2 linked regions of the Lepisosteus oculatus genome follow. The protein of the gene in region 2 purifies or fractionates together with the protein of the main gene of each other region. This does not show direct contact. Links are inferred from orthologs where the notes say so. Each region holds a gene or a part of one and is shown on either strand. Other genes may lie near its edges.

Region 1 (7,369 bases), on a different chromosome or scaffold from region 2:
TGGAAAAAAAATCTGATTCTAATCCCCTTGCATGAAGAAAAACTGAAACTTGATTGTAATTTCCCATTCTAAAAATCGGTGTCAGTGAAAATTCAGTACATACTTAATAAAGCTAGCAGATATATACAGTAGCAGATATAACAAAACTCTCCCTGCTCTTAAATTTTGTATTCCTTTTACATCCACCTGAATAACAGAAAAATAATGTTTCTTATAACTAAAATATCTACAATTCTGACAAGAGAACACATTTAGTGTGAATTCAGCAGAGAAGCAGACCCCACATATTTGAAAAGTCTACTAATGGACTGAAATCTAAGAATGTATCATGGTGATATTTTCTTGACTTAAACTGGGAAAAACATTTGTTTACATTTTAATATGTACATGCATATTTTGATGTTTTAATATCCAATTAATACTGTAAGACATCCATCAAACAGTGACAAAATAGACCACATACAGTATATTTTGTCTTACAGTAAATTCAGTTTTAATATACAGTATATTTCATTAAAAGTCTCTGTGTTAAAGAAAGACATTAATTAGAGTTAATTACCGTCCTAAAGGGTTTGTAGTCTTCCTATTACTGATAGATTAGTCAAGGGATGGCTAATGATAATCATTTTGTTTAATATTTTATGAATCAAGTCACATAATTATTTTCAATATCTACATCACCACATTGGTTTTAAAAATAGAAGACTAATTACACTTAAGGACATTAATAGATTATTTTTACATACCTGTTTTTCATCCGATGCACTGATAATGCACTGAGTGATGATATAGAACGTGGAAATATGTCAAAGCAAAACTGTGGGTCTGAATCTATTTTTAACTTTTTCCCCCCCAAGTACAAAGTTGGGTTACCTGATAGCATGAACATGTGCTATTCCTGAACCCTCATCATCACAGATCTATATTTATTCTACCTACATGCCTGCGAACATGCAAAAATTGTATTCCTGTGGTTTTGTCAACAACATCAAATGGAAAAATGTTTTTCCTTATAAGACAAAGATTTATAAATGTACAGTATGTTTATGTCATTGCATATTGTACCTATGGATAAGGAGTAATTTTTTTTATTTTAACATTTAGTTTTGGATCATTTGGTTTAATGTGGTAAATGTGTGAAAGAAAAGCAAAAACAAGGCAACATGTAACAGACATTTACAGTAAGAGAGAGGTCATTAGAGGTAATGTTATAACAGAGCTATGCTTGTATTCTTTTCAAATTGTTGTTTTTGTATATTACTTTAACTATGTTAAAAAATCCCTTTATTGGAACCCAGAATTGTGTCATATTTAAAGCAATAATTACTTCATATTATTTTCTTATTATATTAAACACAGACATCATTCGTCACTGTGGTCGAATCATTGAGTTATCTGGATGCGTCTAATGACATATATCAAATACCTCACCTACTGTATCACTTATAAAACATGTTCTGTTTTGTGTGATTTCAAAACAACATTTAAAAAAACTGTCTCCCTAAAAAGCTATGAATTGGCTTCATCACTTGCAGTGTGTTCTCCCCACAGATACAGTAGCTGATGTGTGGTGAGTGTACTGGCACACTATGGTGGTCAGTGCATCATCCAGGTGGGGCTGCACATTGATGGTGGTGGAGGGGAAGTCCCCATTACCTGTAACGCTCTTTGAGGGGAGTGTCCAGAAAAGCACTATACACAGTACTAAGAGTAAGGAATTATTATTATTAGAAGCTGTAAGTGAGTTTCTAAAAGAGCTACAGTATAATGAACATTTTTCCATTTCCATTTCCATATTGCCAGATTTCCATAAATAACATACTGTATACTAGAACACATTTACTGGAATCAATAAACTGGTTTTGAAAGCATTTGCTTTTGCTGCTGTTAGTATTAGCTATGATCAAATTATGTTGTGGGTTTCTTTACAGCCAGCTGGAAAGTATTTCTGTCTGTTGGATGCAAAAAAAAGATAATTTATGAAATGATTAATACAAGGCTGTGTTCCATTAAGAAAACAAAACATTCATCTCGCTCACCCTGCGGTCCATGTGGGTCCTAATGTCCCAGTATAGTGATGGGGACACTATACTGTAAACAGGCGCCGTCCTTCGGATGAGACGTAAAATCGAGGTCCTGACTCTCTGTGGTCATTAAAAATCCCTTGGCGTTTCTCAAAAGAGTAGGGGTGTAACCCCGGCGTCCTGGCCAAATTTCCCATTGGCCCTTAACAATCATGGCCTTCTAATAATCCCCCTTTATGAATTGGCTTCATTACTCAGCTCTCGTCCCCACTGATAGCTGGTGTGTGGTGAGCGTTCTGGCGCACTATGGCTGCCGTCGCATCATCCAGGCGGATGTTGCACATTGGTGGTGGTGGAGGAGATCCCCATTACCTGTAAAGCACTTTGAGTGAAGTGTCCAGAAAAGCACTATATAAGTCTAAGCAATTATTATTATTTTTATTATTATCTCAAATCATCCTCCACCTTATTGATGAATAGGGTTAGTGTTCTCTGAAAACTGCCAGTATCACATTTTTTTTCTTCCATCTCTGGAACTGACTATAACTGTAGATATCCTGTCTTGTAATTTGTGTATGTGAGTCATTGTCATTTTCATTGAATGTGTAAAATAGTTAAGGTAAAGTTAAAACAATTGGTAAAGATGTGCTCCCTGTGGAAGGAAGTTATTTTGTATGACATGTAAAAATACTGAACTACCATCACAGTAAAGATCTAAGTCACGTTTCATGTAAGATTGTGGAAAAGAAATAAAAAATACGCAATTTCTGTCAGTTTAAAAATAAACTGACATCTGTTTGCTCAAGCCCATTTTTCCCCAACATATTTCAATATTATCCTTTAAAAGCAGTAAAAGGCTAAGTTTGAAATATACTGTATAATTTAAGAACTTCAGATTATTTTTTAAATAAAAAAACAAAAATCCAAACTTTATCTGTTCACTGAAATTTGTTTTCCAATACAGTAATATTAAAGTAATCCATACAGAATGTTAAATAGTAAAACTAAAAGCAATTAACTTGATCACAGGTCACCGATGCAAAAATGTCAAATGTATATTAATAATAATAATGTTTTACTGATTGAGAGGAACAATACGGTTAGATTGTCTGTCTGTAGATGAGGAGATTTAATCTGAGTTGTGTGAAGAAGTACTGTGCAGCATTATTTTATCGAAATTTAATAAGGTTTTGGGGTGAATATAATAATTATACAACTACCAGAGTTTCACTATCATTAAATATGTTCTGTGATAACTCCTTTTTGCGATTTCCAATAACAGATACTCTTGATGCACTAATTCCACAACTCCGTGAGACTTTTTTTTCAGTAAATCCTTCCACCAATCTCTAAATCAAAGTATCTACTTAAATTTATTAGCGAGGCCTGCTGTAAAGGTTCTACAAAGGTCTATAAAAGATGATATATTCCTTTGTGTACAATATACTGTACCTCTCAGATCACCTTCAACCGCTATTTAATTTGTATGTGTAAATGAATGATGTACAGTAATATGTCTATAAACTGTGCTAGTGAACAGTTAACACAGCAGTTGATTTTTCTTACCCTTTCTTGATTTTGTTTTTGTTACTTTTTGATTTATTCTTTCCTCACCTGTTGTATAAACTACTGTACTGTATATACTGTAGGTTATTGTACCTGGGATTTTAATTTGTACAGTATATAATTTGTTACATTATCCGTTTATTTGTTTTGTTTGTTTACAATGTTTTGACTAAAAACGTTCTGCAAACATATCTTATACACTGCAACAGTTTGTAGCTTTTCGTTTGGTGTTTTTAAAAATAGTCAAGAGAAATATACCGTAGACTGTTAAAAACGATGTCTTAGTAACTATCTCCCGAGTCATTTACTGTATTTTAACTGGATAGTTAAAACACGACTCACAGAAAAACATTGGTAAGATGTACTTAATTAGTTGACTCATTTGTTAAAACCACTGAATTAACTTCCTTGTAAATATTTATCTTAAGTTAGTCGTTCCAACCGCCTTACTTTTTCGACGTACAGTAGGTAGCAGTCTGGCAGCTGCTACTATAAAAATAGTACTCGTTTTATTTGTTCAACGTACTGAAGATGTAATTCATTATTATGAACTTTTATTCAAAACAATGTTAATGCCAGATTGATAAGTATTATACAATTTCTGTTTTCGAAAAGACGTATTGTTGCCTAAAGTACAATAAAGCAACATTTTGAGTGAACCAATGGAAAGAGTAAAGTACGCCCCTTATGTTTCAGGAAGTAAGATATTTGTCTTTTATTTTCTTTCCTAGTAGACATCTGGATTTCCCCGTTTTCGTCACTCCTTTAAACGCATGTGGTAACTCCAATCTAGACAGAAAAACGAGAAGCATGATTCTACCACATCAGTCATTTTTTTTCATCGGTCTGTTGCATCGTACATAGGTGAGTGACATTTTACCTCTTTCTGCCTGTTGTCCCCGAAATGAAGTATGCGTTGTGTTACAAATTCTTTCGCTTTTAGCAAAAGCATGCTTCGAAATGACTCGTGTATTATTATGCTTTGCTTGTGAAAACTCACTTTTTGCGTTTTTAGTATTGTAAGATTTGTTTTTTTAAAATAACATTTAGCGCTTTTAATTGTACTGTATATTGAGAGTTTATCTTTGAAATAACGCCACCACTTGTGTAGCGAATGCTGGTACTGTAACTATCATCCTGTGCATATCCATTTAATGTATTCTCTCCCTTTTTACTTTTTAGTGCTATTGTACAGTTCGTTGATGTCAGAGTATTAGTTTTACTCATTAACTGCAAGTTTGCTCAGTTGTGGGTGCAGTAAGGAATGTTATAGTTACGCATTCTCAGTTTGCAAACGGCAAGAGGCCAGATTAGCAGCAGCACGAAGAGGTACAGGACAGGAAGGGCTTTAACCTAAGGGTTAATTGTATTCAAGAAATGCTGTATTTTCCTGGGGTAAAAATAAGTAATTGGTGAGTTAAATCAAACAAGTTGATTAGCGTGATTAGTTAAAGCTGGCAATGAAAGAACCCAAGTAGACTGAAAACAATAAATCCTGGGTATCTGGCACTATGCAGCTCAGTTTTAAGCACAGTTTATATTCGCTTAGCCTGAATACATGGAAGTTTAAGTTTGGAGAAGGGAGGAAGATATTTATTTTCTTCATCCACTTAGCACAGAGTTGCCCAGTCTCTGGATGGCCACCTTATTAGAGAACAGTACTATTAGTTCTATTACTGTGCACATATCATGTATAATACTTATTATTATGTTTTCAGCTAAAAGGACTTCATATTCATATTTACTGTAAGGTTACAGTACATCCCACATTTGGAAGTTTGGTCAGTACCATCAACAAATCTGAGTTTTGAGCACAGCCCCACTGTTGTTCACAATACTTTTGTTATAGCTAGACAACTAGGCGGTTAATTCTATACTAATCATAATAACTTTTATTTATAAAGTGCCTTTCCAAACCCAAGGATGCTATACCTTATACACATTCCACCTGCCACAAGTGCATTCTCTTTGAGAATCAGCATACTGGGTTATTAGAATACTTGGAGCCTTAGTCTGTTAATGTCCACAAACACCTAATAGCTAGCGGATTTTTCTTATTAAGTTTCCTGCATTCACTTTATTTGTTTTTGTTGTATCTAGGTAGATGTATGTTTCTTCATGTAGCACTGAACAGCATCTCATTAAAACTCTGAAGTGTTTAACAGTTTTATGAGCTGCAGTTTTTACTTCTTACCCTTCAAAAACATTTGAAAATGCAGATGTAAAATGGTTGCAGGGACTCTCTCAAAGAAGATACTGTGCATGAAAGATTTGTGTGACAGCTTACATATTTACTGTACTGTGAAAGAAAATAAGCCTGTGTTGAGCAAGTTGATAAAGGTTTTTTTAATGTAAATGTGGCTGCATGATTCATAGATAGAATGCCGAGATAAAGCAGCTACTGTAACAATTATGTCCTTGACTTTCTGGATTTTCTTTGTCTGGTCTTATACAAAGATTCGGGATTACTAGTAAAATAGTACAAGTAACTGCAACATCCAAATTAAGGAAGTTTTTTTTTTTCTGGAAGTAAAGAATCCTCTTAGGAAATGTCATCAAAAGGAGTAGCACCAAAAGAGGAAACTGACCAGAAAGAACCTACAGTATATCTGTAGTTCCATGTTACATCCTTTTGGCACAAGAATGATAAGGCCCATGATGATTGGATTTTGTAATACAAGGTGGTTGACATTTGCCTGGTTAATAATGTTAATAATGTCATGTGTTTAGGGGGGACAGGACTGCACCTGGCCTAAACGGATGTTGCCGTGAATTTCTGAAACTCAGAATTGTGTCTGAGGCTGAGAAAGCTACCAGCTGCAGAGATGTCAGATTCCTCAGATTTCTATTCTTTAAATGTTAACACACTAAAGGAGCCCATTCTGAAGAAGCTGAGTGAAGTGCTTGACAAAACCAACAACAAAGGATGGAGGAAGCTGGGTGAAATTGTTGCCAGTGACAGACGTTTTAAAGTGAGGTGAGTGACTTTTGATGTAGTGACCAGTTCCAAGAAGTGTGTGCTACATTCCTGCATGTACTGAGTAAATATGACACAGGTCTCATTCAGTTATAGCATCCCTTTAGAGTATGAAAGGCTTTTGGGTCTCCAGGTTTGTGTGTTGTGTAGCTTCAGAAATGTGGGAGATGCTTCAGCAGATTTAAATATTGCCTGGGACAAACTGCACTTGGAAGTTCAGTGCTCTTGTTTGAACAGTTGCCCATCCCAGCTCTCTGGTAAAGTTCCATTAAATAATTCCTGAATGAAAATGTAATGACTCTGTGTTGTTGGTAAAGTACTTATGCCATATAGAGCATACAGTAGGTCTTTTTGTTTGTTATTTCACAAAGAGTGTGTTTTCTATGAGTAAAACAATATAAACCTAATCCAAAAGAAGCAGAATAATTTTCAAGTGCTGTGGGTGGGCTCACATATCTTACTGTATTACCTAGAAAAAATCAGATTACTTACTAAGAGGCTTGACAATGCAACAGGTGAATATCGAGACCAACAATGTTTATTTTACTTTTAACAACTTACACTAAAGAACTGAAATTACAGTGATGACACTTTTTAGAGTGACTTGATATCACTCTAAAGAGGCTTTATTAGTATTGTTCTATACTGATAAAGCCTCTTTAAAGACACCGAGATCATTTTCATGCATTTTGCCAAATTAACTACATTTTATCACGTTTTACCTAATCCTTCTTCAGTGCTTATGCTTCGTCATGTTTTAAGACCAAAAAAGTGATACTTCATTGCTCTGTTGTGAAGCTGG
Region 2 (8,094 bases):
AAGAAAGCTACACAGCTGCTAACATTTCCTATTTTGCTACTGTTAATATTAATTAGAACATTTATATGAACCAGAAAAATGTTTCCTAGGTTGTCTCCATAAAGGTGAGCATTAAGGTCTATTAGCTTTGGAATTCTTGTCTTGTAAGACAATTTCTTCAAATATTTTTTACTTGAAATCAGGCTCACCATCCAAAAGATGGCAAGGTTGTTTTGTAAATATTAGCATTACAAATGTAATACAGTCAGTCTCCTGTTGTTCTAGTCAATTGAGGGTTACCTATGAGCCACAAGAAGCACTTTCTGACACAAATGATAAAAATGTAAAATGTAGTAGATCTTTATTTCATTGATGTTGTCCTACATTGCATCTGACATCACATTTACTTCAAAATGTTTTTTAAGTATTTTTAATTTCCTTAAACAATTGTTTGGGGTGTTTCTTTGTCACTAAGCCTGGCTCAAAGCCTTCCACCTTGTCTTAACTTATGCTAAGGCAAACAGAATTTGAATATTGCAATATCAAATGATTAAATATTGAATTACTATTATAAATAATTTAATAATTGAATATTGTATGTAACTAATAATTGATTATTGGAATATTGGACTGCTTGCTGGCAATACTGTTATTCACCGTTTGACCTTGTTTATCAAACTATACTATACTAATCTATACTAGATTGAAAAAGATAGCTAAAAATACAATTTTATGTTAATAAAAATGTCACTTATAAAAACAGCAAAAGGTTAACACAATACAGTACTTCCTGATCACTAATGACTCAGGCAAGGCAGGTAAAATGTTCCCTGACAGAGAGAGGGCAATAACATAGAATCACTTTCTTGAATATAATTTGTCATGGGCAATATGTTTTAAAATAAGGAACAAGTAATAGGTTTATTCCATGCTGAAAAAACAGAAAAAAGAGACAAATTTCTCTTTCTGTGTTCTCTTTCTTCTTCTTCTCTTCTTCTCTTTTTCTTTTTTCAGCATAGAATAAACCTATTACTTGTTCCTTTGCAGCCTACACACGCTGATGCAGCTACCCACCTGAACTATGCTTTAAAATAAAATATTTAACACATAAGGCACATCCATTTTCCTGAAACCACCAGTATTCCTGACATTTCTCTTAAAGTGTATTTGTATGCACATAGAGAAATAGATGTAGGAGGGTCATTAACACTGAGAGACAAAAGGCAAAAGTGGATGTTTGGCACCAGATGTACTGTAGCATTGATGTACATAAAGATTTGTTATTGTGTTTATTGCTGTGAAAGGAAGAGTGATGGGCGCGCAGTGGTTAGCATTGCTGCCTTGCAGTTCCGGGACCTGGGGTTTCATTCTGCAACTGGGGTGCTGTCTGCATGGAGTTTATATGTTCTCCCCATGTTGGCATGGGTTTCCTCTGATTGCCCTGGTTACCTCCCACATTCCAAAAACATACTGGAGAGTTAATTGGCTTCTGGGAAAAATGTCCCTGGTGTGAGTGTGAGAGTCTGTCTATGTGTGCCGTTTTATGGACTGACGTCACATCCAGGATATATCCAGCCTTGCTCCTGTTGTTTGTCTGGATAGGCTCCAGCTCCCCTTGGCTCTGTACTGGATAAAGTGGTTAGAAAATGGATGGATGGATGGAAGAGTGACTTCATGCCTTCTAGCATGACGCATCCTACCAATTACCAGAAGTAAAAATTAGGAATAATAAATCCTATATTTACACGAGTGAACAGAAACCCTAAAAATAAAACAGTGCTTAAACTGTTTAAGTGTCAAGAAATTTCAAATTGCGAGTAAACAAAATCTTTGGAATCAAAACAAGTCATCGGAGACCCCGTGACTGCATGAAAAAAACACAAATGTGGATGAAAACTCAGATTTGCATAGCTCTTCCATCTGGCAGTGACAACGGGTCCTATAATAATGTTTTTGTTCGCTGCCATCTTTAGCAGGCAAACAATGCAAATATCATGCACAATTTTCATTTTATGAAAAAACGTATACCACTAGATTCAGCAGATGACAGAAATATGGTAATGCGTAATGGTCATGCCCATCAATTTGTGTGGCATTATTGCTAGCTGAAAATAAGCCTATGGACTTTCCTTGGATAATGTGTAATTTTTCATTATTTCACATGCTTCATTATTATGGCTTTTTAGAATAAAAGATCAATCTATTCAAGAACATTCATTTCTCCAGAACGAAAGACTTACATTTTTCATTTACAAAAGTATTCACCCCCCACCCCCAAGTCAATACTTTCTACATAGTCCTTTAGCTGCAATTACAGTCATGAGTCTTCTTGGGTATGTCTGTATGAGCTTTGCACATTGTAGAATTTTTGCCCATTCTTCAATGCAAATTTGCTCCAACTCTTAGATGGAGAGCATTAGTGGACAGCAATTTTCAGGTCATACCACAGATTTTCAATTGGATTCAAGTGTGGGCTCTGGCTGGGCCATTTCAGAATACTTACCTTATTTTTTTCCCCAAGCCATTCCTTGATAGTCTTTGCCATGTGCTTTGGGTCATTGTCCTGCTGGAAAGTGAATCTTCACCCTAAACGCAGATCTCTTGCTGACTGAAAAATGTCTCCTCAAGGATTTTCCTGTATTAAGCTTCATCCTTGTTGCCCTTGATGGCAAAAGCTTTCCAGTTGCTCCTGCTTAAAAGCAACCCCAGAGCATGATGCTGCCACCACCATGCTTGACGGTAGTGATGGCGTTACCTGGGTATTGGGCTGTACTTGGTTTGCACCAAAAACAGTGCTTTGCTTTCAGGCCAAAGAGCTCAACTTTAGTCTCATCAGACCACAGTTTTCTTACAAAAGGTTTCAGGTTTTGTCACATGGCTTTTAGCAAACTCCAGGCATGACTTAATGTTGTCCTTTCTCAGAAGTGGCTTCCTTCATGCCACTCTCCCAAAGAGGCTGAATCTGTAAAGTGCTGAAGAGATTGTTGATGTCTGGACAGTTTCTCCCATTTCAGCCAAAGAGCTCTGCAGCTCTGTCAGTGTTGTAGCTGGTCTCTTGGTCACTTCTCTGACAATTACCCTTCTTGTAGTGTCTGGGTTGTCCCATGGTCTGCCATTTTGCTACAATGGACTTTATGGTGCTCCTAGGAAGGTTCAAAACTTTGCCAATCTTTTTATAACCTTCTCCAGCTTTTTTTCCTCTTAACAACCTCATCTTGAAGCAGCTTCTTGGTCTACATGATAGGAGGATTGATCTGTTCTGCTATTTCAGTTGTGAAACCTCACAGTCAGTGATATTTATTGTGCACTCCAGTAATTGAACACAAGTGGAGTCAAAATGAACACCGGTGTACTTTGTTAACGTATTTAGTGTGATCTCTCAAGATAATTTAATACCTCACCCAATTTACGTTGTTAAAACAAAAGGGGTGAATACTTATGACCAGGAGTCATATCACCCTGCAACTCACAATTGGCAACCCATTGAAGCTAAGCAAGTGTGAGCTAGATCAGTACCTGGATAGGAGACCTCCTGGGAAAAACTAAGGTTGCTGCTGGAAGAGGTGTTAGTGGGACCAGCAGGGGGCACTCACCCTGTGGCTCATGTGGGTCCTAATGCCCCAGTGTAGTGACGGGGACACTATACTGTAAACAGGCGCAGTCCTTCAGATGAGATGTAAAACTGAGGTCCTGACTCTCTGTGGTCATTAAAAATCCCAGGGTGTTTCTCGAAAAGAGTAGGGGTGTAACCCTGGCGTCCTGGCCTAATTTCCCATTGGCCCTTATCAATCATGGCCTCCTAACAATCTCCCTCTATGAATTGGCTTCATTACTCTGCTCTCCTCCCCACTGAGAGCTGGTGTGTGGTGAGCGTTCTGGCGCACTATGGCTGCTGTTGCATCATCCAGGTGGGGCTGCACACTGGTGGTGGTGGAGGGGAGTCCCCATTACCTGTAAAGCGCTTTGAGTGGAGTGTCCAGAAAAGCGCTATATAAGTATAAGCTATTCTTCTTCTTTTTCTTCTTATCAATTAAGTAATTTTCAGATTTTTATTTTTTTATATATAAATTTTATTTTTATTTTTTTAAATACTTTATTTCATTTTAACATTAGAGAGAATTACTTCTACAGGAGTAGAAAAAATATAATGCTTTAATTTGACTTTGCAACAGAGCAGAAGAAGAAATAATCAATGAGGGGTGAATATTTTCCAAAGGCACTGTGCTAGATTAGATCATATCAACCTTGAACTGATAACAGTTTCATCCAAATAAGGTTCTCAATAATTTTACTCAACGTTTATTCTTACATAGTTACATGTTATTTAATATAAGTTAATGTGGACTATAATCGAATAGTCATTTTTGTTTGTGTGTGTGTGGGGGGGTGCTTTGCATGTAAACGTCTAAATGATTAAGTCAGTGATTATACATTATGCAGGCTTCAGTGCTGATCCACTGTTAAATGAGGTACATCACATACTGTGAATGCTGCCTTTAAAATGAGAACGCACCAACAAGGCAGTTGAATTAGACGATACCTTCTACAATAACCCCACTTCCTCAATATATTTTTTGATATATGCTTGATAACTACATACACTTATCATCAGATACAAAAGCAGTTAACTTATTCTCCACGAACTCTTATCGAGGACATCATATACTTTCCGATCCCAGACATTTCCTAAAGGTCATAAGGAATATGTGGAGTATGGACACATCATGTCATGGCTCCGTGTTTTTTTTTTTCAAATATCACGTTTTGCAAACCGGCGTACGTATTGTTAAAGGATTGAATGTAGCGTACTTTCCCCCCTATTTGTATCGACCATCGCTCAACTAAATTATTTTTAAAAACCATTCCCGGTTTAATTTCTTGTAAAGGTTATACGATATAAAAATTGGTATCTTCTCGTTCGTAACTTTTATGTTTATTTCTTAGAATGGAAATAGTGCCCTTCTATACAGTACGTAGTAAGGCAGTTTTTTTCTGCCCCAATAATATTTCCACGCCCATCACCATCTCTGCGCCAGCAGAGCTTGACAGACTCTGACAGTAGTGCTTCCAAGTATGTAGTTTAATGTTGCGCAGGTGAAATTAGCAGAGACAAGAAGGCAATTTTCTTGTGGAACGCAACGCCCCTTGTTCATGCTTAAAAAATGGACGATTCTTGTCACTGATCGTGACAGCTAACTGAAGAGAAGTATTCTAGCAACAGGTAAGAATACCTTTTTTTTCCCATACTGGTAAAGACTTTACTCACTTTCAGTAAATTTGACTTTTTTTCTAGCTGACCGGTCACAAAAGTATAACTTCCTTGATAAAATTATCAGATAACATTTTTCGCACAAACAGAAAAGTGGAAATAGTGCGTTTCTACAGCAGAAAAGAAACTTATTGCAGGTCCTCATCTCATCTTTTTCTATCAGAATTTTAATATTTTGAATATTTTGAATTCATTATCTGGGAAAGTTTGAAGCATGTACATTCAGACGATTATGCTATATTTCAGTACAGTAGCTAAATTAGCTTTTCTACTTTAACTGCAGTAGTGCAAATCCGCGCGAGAACTGAAGCCAATTTTGAACACTAGTTCAGAGGAAGAGCGGGCGTAGCTAAACTAGTTTGAAACATACAGTAGGCTGACTTTCCTTATTAGCAACATTTAATGTCGAGTATATCTGAAACATACAGAAAAAAATAAAAGTTTACTTTCTATTTAGTTATTTTTTCCATAATAAAAGAGCACATTGAACAGTAATTTATAGGAAGGAACAGGTAATTGAGTCTTAATATTGTAACAAAAATATGTTTTTAAATATCAGTAAAACTTTTAATTATCTAATGATTTTAATAACCATCACCATTTAAAATAATTGATTACCATTTCTGAAAACCCAACTGATTAATCTTAAAATAGGACTTTTTCATTGCCCATAATATTTTTAATTTCATAAACTGCAACATCTCTTACGCTTTAATCTTTAAACTTCAAGCATCAAAATATTTAATCCTGATTCCCTTGAAAGCAGAACAGTTAAAATTCTATGGATTAGTGACTCCCTGTATGTCTTTAACTGTTTTGGTATGTGATTGGTTCCTGCTAATGTATACTGTATTTGCTATTCTGAAATGCGTAAAAAAATTGCATGAAATTACACTGAAAATGTATAATTTGCTTTAATTTGAAGTTGAATTTCTTTCCTTTCCAAAATGCTCACATTCTCCTATTGTAAAATATATGTACATTATATTCTGAAAAGTTTGTTCTTTGTTACCATTCACCAATTCACGTAGTTTCACTTCACTTAAGCTACAGTATAATTTACTGTATGTGGTAGCTATTCAAAACTATGAGCTTAAATTCAAAGTTTAATTGTTCAGTTTCATATATTTATGTCTAAAATGTTAGAATTCACTATAGTCTATTAAACATTTGACAAGTAATGTGAATTAAATTAATACCTTTTTAAGCTTCTGAAGTCCAGTTGAGTTTGCCCGTAGTGTTAAGCACTTTGTCCAAAAATACAAAATGATTCCCTGTAGGAATTATAAGCAACAGCAAGGCTGTAAGTGTACAGTAGCAATATAACACAAACACATCTAGGATGAAAGTAATATCTGAAGCCCAAAAGACTATGGAGGAAAGATTTAATAGGTTACATTCAATAGATAACACAAGAGTGACTTGTACTGAGCAGGTTTGGTGGGAGTGGGCTATAATTGCTTTGATAATACGTATTGCTCCAAGGCCTTAAAGTTTAGCTTCAGTTAAAATTGCAGAAAATTGAAGAATTTTCTCTTTGGCAGTTTGACAGAAGGATCTCTCACCCAGCAGTTTCTTAAGTAGAAGCCAAGACACGGACTTCAATAACAGCTTGTTCCATACTCTCATAATCCTTTTGCATAGAGAAGTGCTGCCTGTTTTGGTTTTAAACTTCCAGACGTCTTCCCCACAACTTCCATTTGTGTTCTCTTGTTCATGTTTCACTCTTGATCCTGAAGAAGCACATTGGGTTGACTTTGTCAATGCCTTTGATAATTTTGAATACTTGTATCAAGGTCCCTTCATAGTGTTCTCTGTTCATGACTTAAAAGATTGAATTCCTTTAGTCTGTCTGTGTAGTACATTCACTTAATCCTGGGAACGTATCTAGTTGCTCTTCTAGGACATATTTTTTGTAACATTGTGTCCAAAATGTTTTATTTCAAACCCATGTGTGCACTTAATGATATAATTTATGGTATTACATATAATTACGCAACATAAACCAAACAGAAGCATGAAGAAGCTAGTTACCACAGTGTTTTGTATTGTTTTGTAAAAATATTTTAGATAGGGCTAAAGCAGTCACTGCAAATGCTGCAAGGTGCAGTATCTGAGCAAAAAGTATGCAGAACAACATGAATTGAGCACGAAAACTGCTCCTGATGTGAAATCCTGTTTTGTGAAGTGGAGAATACCATGCTGGTTACAAAGCACAAGCTGCAATGCAGAGACTTAGAGTACGAGATGCAGTTTTGTGGATTTGCTGGAAGATGGTTAGGAGTGGTGAGGTTCTGTTCACAGAATATGGTGAGAGGGGGTTAGGGGAGGAGAAAGTATTGCAATGTAGGTTTTCTAGATGTAAGTTTCTGTGAGATCAAAGTATAAACTATACATTTGTTAATAACTTTGACATGCTGGAGGAACTAACCATTGATCATTATTAAAATCATTATCAACATTAGCAAGGAGAAAACTCATAAAGACATGCAGTAAGAACATAAGAAAGTTTAAAATTGAAAAGTGGCCATTAGATCCATCTAGCCTGTTTTGTAATTAGTAGTTTATTGATCCAAAGATCTCATCCAGCTGTTCCTTGAAAGGAACTAGGATATCATCTTCTCTCTAATTTACCTACTCTCATAATTATTTGAAAGAACATGCTTACAACTTGGCTTGGTGCAAAATCTTGGCTGGATATGTTGGGCTATATTCCCTCAACCCTTTGGGTAAAGAAGTTCCTGATGCTCTCATCTTAGAATGCACTTTAAAGTAGTTTCCACTTGAGCCTTCTGGTTCGTGTTTCACTGTTCTTTCTAAAGACATCTGCTGGGTTAATTTAGTCA

Evidence for each region.
Region 1: the proteins of card11 (region 2) and malt1 purify together in Homo sapiens (affinity purification with western blotting; 6 studies listed by BioGRID and IntAct, with this or other methods). This does not show direct contact. The link is inferred for Lepisosteus oculatus from reciprocal best matches to the Homo sapiens genes CARD11 and MALT1.

What each region holds. Positions count from the first base shown.
Region 1 is NC_090698.1:20,401,434-20,408,802, reverse strand, and holds the start of malt1 (mucosa-associated lymphoid tissue lymphoma translocation protein 1), read left to right. Parts: upstream 1-4,318; 5' UTR 4,319-4,454; intron 4,455-4,470; exon of another isoform or gene 4,471-4,591; intron 4,592-6,320; 5' UTR 6,321-6,415; coding exon 6,416-6,567; intron 6,568-7,369. Other genes in the region: alpk2 (alpha-protein kinase 2), read right to left, coding at 747-757. UniProt on the Homo sapiens protein: Protease that enhances BCL10-induced activation: acts via formation of CBM complexes that channel adaptive and innate immune signaling downstream of CARD domain-containing proteins (CARD9, CARD11 and CARD14) to activate NF-kappa-B and MAP kinase p38 pathways which stimulate expression of genes encoding pro-inflammatory cytokines and chemokines.
Region 2 is NC_090714.1:9,322,202-9,330,295, reverse strand, and holds the start of card11 (caspase recruitment domain-containing protein 11), read left to right. Parts: upstream 1-5,030; 5' UTR 5,031-5,200; intron 5,201-8,094. UniProt on the Homo sapiens protein: Adapter protein that plays a key role in adaptive immune response by transducing the activation of NF-kappa-B downstream of T-cell receptor (TCR) and B-cell receptor (BCR) engagement.